Callithrix jacchus: one gene and its partner. The protein of the gene in region 1 purifies or fractionates together with the protein of each later gene. This does not show direct contact. Links are inferred from orthologs where the notes say so. Each region holds a gene or a part of one and is shown on either strand. Other genes may lie near its edges. The genes, in order: FBXW2 and RBX1.

What was found.
Region 2: the proteins of FBXW2 (region 1) and RBX1 purify together in Homo sapiens (affinity purification with western blotting; 3 studies listed by BioGRID and IntAct, with this or other methods). This does not show direct contact. The link is inferred for Callithrix jacchus from reciprocal best matches to the Homo sapiens genes FBXW2 and RBX1.

The regions. Positions count from the first base shown.
Region 1 is NC_133502.1:169,203,241-169,207,750, forward strand, and holds the start of FBXW2 (F-box/WD repeat-containing protein 2), read right to left. Parts: upstream 3,020-4,510; 5' UTR 2,899-3,019; coding exon 2,823-2,898; intron 1-2,822. UniProt on the Homo sapiens protein: Substrate-recognition component of the SCF (SKP1-CUL1-F-box protein)-type E3 ubiquitin ligase complex.
Region 2 is NC_133502.1:191,767,774-191,772,350, forward strand, and holds the start of RBX1 (E3 ubiquitin-protein ligase RBX1), read left to right. Parts: upstream 1-1,611; 5' UTR 1,612-1,632; coding exon 1,633-1,710; intron 1,711-4,146; coding exon 4,147-4,225; intron 4,226-4,577. UniProt on the Homo sapiens protein: E3 ubiquitin ligase component of multiple cullin-RING-based E3 ubiquitin-protein ligase (CRLs) complexes which mediate the ubiquitination and subsequent proteasomal degradation of target proteins, including proteins involved in cell cycle progression, signal transduction, transcription and transcription-coupled nucleotide excision repair.

The DNA of each region.
Region 1 (4,510 bases):
GGCAGATTATGAGGTCAGGAGTTCGAGACCAGCCTGACCAACATGATAAAACCCCGTCTCTACTAAAAATACAAAAATTAGCCAGGCGTGGTAAAGTATGCCTGTAATCCCAGCTACTCGGGAGGCTGAGGCAGGAAAACTGCTTGAACCCAGGAGGTGGAGGTTGCATTGAGTTGAGATAGTGCCACTGCACTCCAGCCTGGGCAAGAGAGGCAAGACTCCATCTCAAATAAATAAATAAATAGCTACAAGGCAAATTTAGAATACCTATTAAAATATTATCAGGTTCTCATCATCCACAGATATCTAAGAGACATACTACAACATGCTAAATTAATGTGTCCATGACACCACTAAAGATTATGGACAGTTTTTTCAGTGAGCACCTTTAAAAAGCTCGGCCATGTCTGAGATTCATATATTCTCCTAACTCTTAATAAAAAAATTTTTCCCAACTCTTAGATTGCCTTTAAAACCATTCAATCTCTTGTAAAACTGAGCAGTTCACCTCTGATTATTCTGAAAAAAGCATTTTTTTTTTCTTAATAAAGGAGGTCTCACTAACTGCAGAATGCACTATTTAAAAAAACCAATTGTTTCTTTTCTAAAAGGATCAACTAACTTTGGAGGGAGCTTTCTAAGGTAACAGGTCTCAACTGGACTCTTTTAGACAGTCTCTAGAAATACCATATACTGGTTGCACAAACATCAGGAAATGGGATTTCAATTAACATGAGAAGCTTTTAAATCTCAGTGCTTTCCAACAATAGAATAGCTGCCTCCAGAGCAGTGAGTTTCCCATTACCACAAACAGTCAAGGACAGCTGGACACACAGGCAGAATGTGATAAATAAAAATGCTTTGGAGGTCGAAATGCTTTACTGATTCAGCCACTTCCTATGTGATTATGGGCATGTCCAACTAACTTCTAAGCTTCAGTTCTGTCATCTGTAAAACGGAAGCTTTCATCTAACTTGAAGGGTGGAACTCAGAAACATAGGAGGGACATGCTTAGCACAGTGTACACACTCTAGAGGATTAAAACTCAAATGATACTTTTTGTTAGTTTTATTACTATGATTACCTGGCAGGCAAGATTTTTGTGACACTGAGGCTGAACTAGACATGACCACTACCATCTTCTTCAACCCTATCATCACAAAGTTTCCCTTAAAAACACCTGGAAGAGGTGGTCTGAAGGTAGTCAGTTATCTCAGTTGATTGTTCACAGTCAGTTACAGACCGAACTCCTTGTTCTACTCTTTCCCTCCTTCTCACTACTGCACTTGATTAGTCTTTAAAAAAAAAAAAAAAAAACCTGGAAGAAAAACTCAAGGGCTCAAACTTACTAGGGGTTTAATTTTATAATGAAGAGCACTCATTTGTTTATTAGAGGCTCTAGTTTCCCTGCAGGTGCCTTATACTAGCCACATTCCCTGTTGTTTGCCCCCTTGCCCCAAGCCCCTATCTGAGAGTTAAAACATTCAACTTGCCCTCTTGCTTTCAGTATCAATAATCACAAACCTCTGAGGAAGTGGGTCATGTAACAAAAAGACTCCTAAATTGGAAGATGAGAGCCTGGGGTTAGTCTCCCTCAGGTTCTGCCATTATGTTACCTTAGGCAACTGGCATATTTATGTTGCTTTTATTTAAAGAAAAAGTATCACTGGTAAACATTATCTCATTTGATCTTCATAACCTCATGGAAGGTATCAATAATCCCACCCTTACCTAACATAATGAGGAACTTTATGGCTCAAGAAGTAGAATGGCTTTCCCAGAATGGCATAGGAAGTAGCAGCCTCAATATACAATAGCCTCAAAACCTACACTCTGAGTTATTAGAGAAAGAACCTTCTGGATAAAACAGTGTAGGCCAGGCGCGGTGGCTCATGCCGGTAATTCCAACACTCTGGGAGGCCGAGGCTGGCGGTCACGAGGTCAGGAATTCGAGACCAGCCTGATCAACATGGTAAAACCCCGTCTCTACTAAACACACACACACACACACACACACACAAAATTAGCCGGGCGTGTTGGCACACACATGTAACCTCAGCTACTCAGGAGGGTGAGGCACGAGAATCGCTGGAACCAGGGAGGCGGAGATTGCAGTGAGCCGAAATCGCGCCACTGCACTCCAGCCTAAAGAGCGAGACTCCGTCTAAAAAAAAAAGTATAAATACGTTTTCCCCTCCTACTCCATCAGAACCTGGCCTAGTCAAGAGTGCAAGCAACGTAATTGTTAGTGGCATACCGAAGGAGGTTTCCTTTCCCCCCCTCTTTTCCTGACAAAGAGTACAGAGGCTTTAGAAATGTATACACATGTATAAATTTACATCTGCATAAAATGTAATCTGAATATTCAAAAAACTGATAACTCTGGTTGCCTCCAGAGAGAACTGGGGAGCTGGAAAACAGGAATGAGGGGTCCCTTTTCATTGTATATTTTTAAAAACTGAGAACCACATAAGTATAATACACTATCAAAAAACAGCCTTTAGTTTTAAGGTGAATTTTTTAAAGCTTTGAAAGAATACAAATAATGTTTATAAAATACGGGTTCTGCAACTCCACTTGTTGCTGGGTGACCTTGGGCAAATCACTTTACATGCCTCACTCCCTGTTTCCTCACTTGTAAAATATAGCCACGAAGAGCATTACCTACAAGGGTTTTTATGAGGGTTAAACAGGACAGTGCACGTAGAGCGTTTAGCACAGTACCTGGCACACTGCAAGTCTTCAGTAAATGTCAGTTAGCATTATTATTTAGCATTAATAGTTACCTTTGCTTTAATTCGAGAAGCACCACACATACACACCTGTTTCCATGGCATACCCACAATTATCGCGCAGTACAGCGCTTTGTACTTCATAAACCACCTCATCACACTTCATCTTTCAAACGCTTGGTAGCCCTGGGACATCACAGTTAACTCATTTCGCAGCTAAGGAAATGGAAGCACTAGGAGGCAGTAACTCCGAAACCCTATTTTCCCATTTCTAAAATCCAGATCCCAACAACCCATTCGTCGCTCCCAGGTCCCTCGCTCCCGGAATCGTGTTCCGCGCGGCACTGACCTGAGCGAGCGCCCCGGGGCCCGGGACCTCGCGCCGGGTTCACAGCTACCAGGCGCGCTCGGGCCGCCAGAGCCTCGCAGCGGCCGGGTCCGCTCCGCAGCCATGGCGCCTGCAGGGAGAAAAAGACAAACCGCCAAGGCGCGGCGGGTCAGCCGAAGCGCGGGCGCCTGAGAGTCCCCTCCCAGACCGGCTCCGCCTCGCATACAAACCTGGACCTGCGGCCGCCGCTCCCGGTCCGCAGCCTCACAGGGGAGCGGCTTCCGGTGCTGCCTACGTCATCTCCACGCGTCCGTCAGCCCCGCTGCGCCCGGCGGAAGCGGCTGTGCTTCCGGTCCCTGGCCCAAGGGGGGAAGGTGGGAGGTGGTGGGTTGTGGGAGGCTGGAGGCCGGGAGTCGGGGTTGGGGAAGAGCGTCCTAGGAAGCTGGGCGCGCGTTGCGCGGCCCCCAGGGTGCTTAGACTGGGTACAGACTAGAGCAGAGCTTCCCTTCGTACCCATACATCCGGGTTTGCACAGCGCTCTTATGTCCCTCCTCCAATTCAATCTTGCACCAACTGCAGTTTTTCTTTTCTTCACTTTACGGAGAGGGAGCTGCGGCTCAGAGAAGTTAAGAGACGTGTCCAAATTCATACAACCCGTTGAGCACCTCTTTTATCCGGAATACTGTTTTGCGAGTAAGTTTAGTGAACAAAAAACACAAAAATTCCTGACCGCCTGGGACATCTATTAGGAGGAGGAAGACCGATAAATTAAGTAAGGCATCTGTGATGTGCTAAGGAGAAAAATAAAGCAGGGTAAGGAGGTTGGTGAATGAAAAAAGACAGTCAGGTGACATAGATTTGAATGAATCGCAGCATTTACACTCTGGCTGTCGCCTGGGTACTTTACCTCTCAGATTGCTTCATCTGCATAGCAATTATAGTAAGCTACCCACCCGAAGTGTCTGAGGATTTAAGGAAATGAAGTATGCAAACCTTTTAGCGTCAGGAACTAAAACTGAGCTAAATTTCATGCACTTTCTCAACATTTTTTGTGTACCATCTCAGTTCCCACAACAACCCCACAAGCTAGTTACTATTATTAGGCCCATTTTTAGAGATGGGGAAACTGAAATCAAAAGATTTAGGCATTTTGCCTAAGGTTATAGTAAATGGCTGTCATAGGATGTCAACCCAAACCGACTTCGGAGCACAAGTTATCCCCCCCACCCTTTTTTTTTTTTTTTGCTGAGGCAGAGTATCACTCTGTCGCCCAGGCTGGAGTACATACAGTGAGTACAGTGGCACGATCTTGGCTCACGGCAGCCTCGACTTCTCCAGGTTTAAACGATCCTCCCACTTCAGCCTCCAGAGTAGTTGGGACCACAGGCGCGTATCACCATGTCTGGCTGTCTGTGTGTGTGTATTTTTGTAGAGGCAGGGTTTCGCTATG
Region 2 (4,577 bases), about 23 Mb from region 1:
AGGCACACAATACATTAATGACAGATATTTTCACATAAAATCATTAAAACTTGGGCTAAGAAAAACTCTGTAGGCTTCCTATAGCTCTTTAAGGTCTCAAACAATTTTTCAAGTCTGGTTAAAGCTGTGGTGGTGTTTTCCAGGATCTGCTGTTCCTGTTTATGACTAAAAGGGAAACAAATCGCAATTCTTTCACTGTTATTATTATTATTATTTTGAGATGGAGTCTCGCTCTCTCACCAGGCTGGAGTGCACTGGCACTACCTCGGCTCACTGCAACCTCTGCCTCCCGAGTTCAAGCGATTCTCCTGCCTCAGCCTCCTGAGTAGCTGGCACTACAGGCGCATGCCACCACACCTGGCTAATTTTTCTATTTTTTGTAGAGATGGGGTTTTGCCATGTTGGCCAGGCTGGTCTCGAACTCCTGACCTCATGTGATCCATCCACCCGCCTCAGCCTCCCAAAGTGCTGAGATTACAGGCATGTGCCACCATGCCTCTAAGAGTGATCTGGCAGTCACACCTCTGCAAGGTTAGAGATGTCAAAGGGAGTCCTGGTCTAGGCAGAAATGGGAGAGTGACACGAAGTACAGGTGCTTGTGCCGGGCGTGGTGGCGTACTCCTGTGAGTACTCACTGTGGGAGGCCGAAGTGTGAGGATCGCCTGAGACCAAGAGTTCGAGGCCAGCCAGGGCAACATAGTGAGACATTGTCTCCATTAAAAAAAAAAAAAGATCAGAATGCCTCACAAAATTCAAGAAATACAGTGACTTCAAGTGGGTTGGTTTCATTATAGCTCAAGCAGCAGACAGAGGACACGGACCGGGAAGAAATCACCCCACGCAGATGACAACTGAGGAAGGGGGAGTGGGGACTGACACGCTATAGTGAAGCCGGGCACCCCAACCAAAGGCGGTCCTAGGACTGCGACTAGGCGGGCGCAGAGGCCACCCCCCAGGCTTCGCGGGCGGGTGAGGGCAGGGCTGGGGGCCTGCTCAGTCTGGCCTTGAGGAGGGCCTTCTGAGGTCTCCCTTCTTCCCATCGAATCCCCGAGCAGTTCCCAAACAGAAATCGGAGACCAGACGGTGCCTGCGCTCCAGCCCTCTCAGGAGGACTGCACCTCGGGCCTGGCTACGAGGCGGGTCAGAGTCTGCGAAAGACCAGCGAGGGCTCTCGGGTTCTGGGGTAGGCGGCGGGTACCCACCCCCGCGCCTTCCCCAGCCCGCACTGGGAGCTGCGCGGCGACCCGGAGAGCCCGACAAGCCGGGTAGGGCTGCGGCGCAGGTCGTGCTCATGCGGAGGAAACAGCCGCCGCCCCAGCTGACGGAGTGTGGTCGGGGGCTTCCCAGAAGAGGCGGCGAGAGCAAACCCTTTCGAACATTTCCACCAGGCTAGCTCACGTAGCCTCGGCCCCGCCCCAGCCACTCCCGCCACCGCCCCCACCGGCCGACACGACGCGGGTGGGGCAATCTGCGCCAGCCCCTTTAAGAGGCGTGGTGACGTGCTCCGCCCCCACCTGCCTCTCGCGCGCCAATAAGGGGTGGGGTGTGGGAGGAGGTGCCGGGAGGCGGGGGAGTGAGGCGTGCACAGTTGCGCAGGCGCGGTGGTCGGACGACAGATCTTGTATTTCCAAAATGGCGGCAGCGATGGATGTGGATACCCCGAGCGGCACCAACAGCGGCGCGGGCAAGAAGCGCTTTGAAGTGAAAAAGGTTGGGTCTCGCCAGCACCTTCCTCAGGGAAGCTAGAGAGGCGCGGATCTGGCTGGCAGGCCCCAGGATGGTCGAGGCGCGGAGTAAAGGGTTTCATTTCAGGGCGTTCCTGGGACCGGGTACCACGAAAGGAAGCCGGGGGGCGGGTCTTAGAGTTGATCGGCGTGACGGTGGCCCACTGTCAGGGACGTGTTGGTTTCGCTGTGAGGCTGAGGGGCCAATCACGGAGCTGCTTATTGAGATACGCGGGGTTGCGATTTGGCGGCAGGAGCCAAGCGCTTGAGCTGTCACTGGAGTGGTCGAGGTGGGGGAAGGACAGGGTGGGGTAGGGTGGGTGAAATGGGGAGTCGGAGTGACTGCGGCGGTGGAGGATGGGGCAGTGCGGCGAAAGCTGGGAACAATCTGAGGTCGTACTGCATTGGAGGCCTCTGAGGGACCCCGCTGGTGATCTTGCCCCGCCCCTTTTTGAAGCTTGGGGTCCTCTCACTTTGAGGAATCCAGACTTGGTGCTCGCCGAACCGAGGCCTCCATTAACCCCATCTCTGGGCCTCACACCGTCTAAAGAGTCTGGAGTGTAGTGCTTGGCTCTTCTGAGACGTCTGTTGTCTTTTCACATAACCATCTCAGTCCTGGGTTCTCTGTCACGTCCAGAATCTCCCCCTTCCAAAATAAAAATAAAAAGCATGGTGGCATTTGTTAAGAAAATCCGAGCCCAAATCCTGTGGCATTTAGGGAGGGTTGAGTACTAGTCGTGAATGACTTGGTAAGAGTGGAAAAGCAAAAATGGAACGTGTCTTTTTATATGAAATGCCTTTTAGTGGTTTGCCACAGTTTGGGGGACAGTGTCGATTCCCACCTAACATGAAAGCTGTTCAAAATGGAGATTCTGAAATAGGGAAGATATTCCTGGAACATCTGGTTAAACACTGACATATCCCCCCTCCTAGTGCTTTTTGGTGTCTCATTGTGGCCACTGCTGCTCAGTTACAGCCAGCAGCCATATTGAAGAATAATAGAAGAGGGGCTTTTCCTCCAAGTTGAAACTGTGATGTGAAAAGTGGGAAAGAAGTTATAAGGCACTGAGAATGGGGTCTGAAAGTGATGAAGGTTTGGCAGTATTCGTAACTGAGGAAGCCAGAGTGGAATAACTGAAATGCCACTTTTAGTTAAACTCTTACTGGAATTATCTCAATACAAGACATAAAAGTTGGGAACATCTGTTTATTTTATGGTAAGAATCAAACAAAATTCTAGTGAATTCTAGAATTTGTTATAAAGTAATCTTCTAAGATTTAAGTGATGACCTTGGTCTGTGTACTGACACGGGTACTTAATTATCCAGCTTATCCCATGATTATCCATTTTATGGTCCCATGATCATCTTAGTTCATTCTGTTCCCTAGCTTTCACCTCACTGCTCATGCTTCCGGAGCTTCCTGGAAGAGCAGATACTCACTCAGATTTTGAGCTCTTCTGCAACTGCCACAAAAACCTGCACAGTAATTCAAGTTTGTGTTTATTAAGCCTACAACGGGCAGTTAAAAATTGTTCCTAATTTGTTTACATTGATACGGCTGACAATTATTTTATTTCATTTTTTTGAGGCAGAGTCACCCTTTTGCCCAGGCTGGAGTAAAGTGGCACCAATGTCAGCTCATTGCAACCTCTGCCCCCGAGGTTCAAGCAGTTCTGCCTCGGCCTGCCGAGTAGCTGGGATTATAGTCAACTGCCACCATGCCCAGCTAAGTTTTGTATTTTTACTAGAGATGAGGTTTTGCCATGTTGGCCAGGCTTGTCTCAAATTCCTGACCTCAGGTGATCCCCTCGCCTCGGCCTCCCAAAGTGCTAGGATTATAGGTACAAGCCACTGTGCCTGGCCACTAACTAAATTGTTTTATTTTATTTTATTTTGAGATGGAGTTGTGCTGTTGTTACCCAGCTTGGAGTGCAATGGCACGATCTCGGCTCACTGCAACCTCCGCCTTCTGGGTTCAAGCAATTCTGCCTCAGCCTCCCGAGTAGCTGGGACATCAGGTGCGCACTACCGTGCCCAGCTAATTTTTGTATTTTTAGTAGAGACAGGGTTTCACCTCGTTGACCAGGATGGTCTCGATCTCTTGACCTTGTGATCCACCCGCCTCAGCCTCCCAAAGTGCTAGGATTATAGGCGTGCTCCTGGCCAAAGTATTTTAAACTATAAGAAACAAAAGATGACTCATTAATTTCTGTGTTGACATACGCAGCCTTTTGGAGAATGGGAGAACATACGTGTAGTCTACCGTTGTCCTTTGATATAATAAGAATAATGTAATATCCAGAAACTTGTGTTTGGTGGTTCCCCATGGCCGAAGAGGTGGTAACTGCAGCTGCAGCATGAAGTCGTAAAGAGTGTGTGTTACAAGGAGAATGCATTGTTCCCTCTTTTTGTCTTTGCAGTGGAATGCAGTAGCCCTCTGGGCCTGGGATATTGTGGTTGATAACTGTGCCATCTGCAGGAACCACATTATGGATCTTTGTAAGTAATTGGAGGAGGATGGGAGAAAGTTGAGAAGGTTACAGAGATTGTGGCTATCTTGATGTGACCAATTTTCTTCTTCACAAGGAGATAGAAGCCTATGCTGAGCACTCGGTCTTCTGTATCTAATCTGTTGATGTGTTGGAAATAGAGTAGTTTTTTTATGATGTCCTGGAAGCATACCCAGCTCTCAGAATAAATCTACTCAATCTAAAGATGGCAGGGACACATTTAGAATGAATTGTGGACAACAGGCACTATTGACTCTTCCTGGGTATCTCCCCTCTTGTACCTAGACTCGAAGGTAGAAATAGTGAACAGAGGAAAATAAACTTTGAGCTAAAATGTTCTG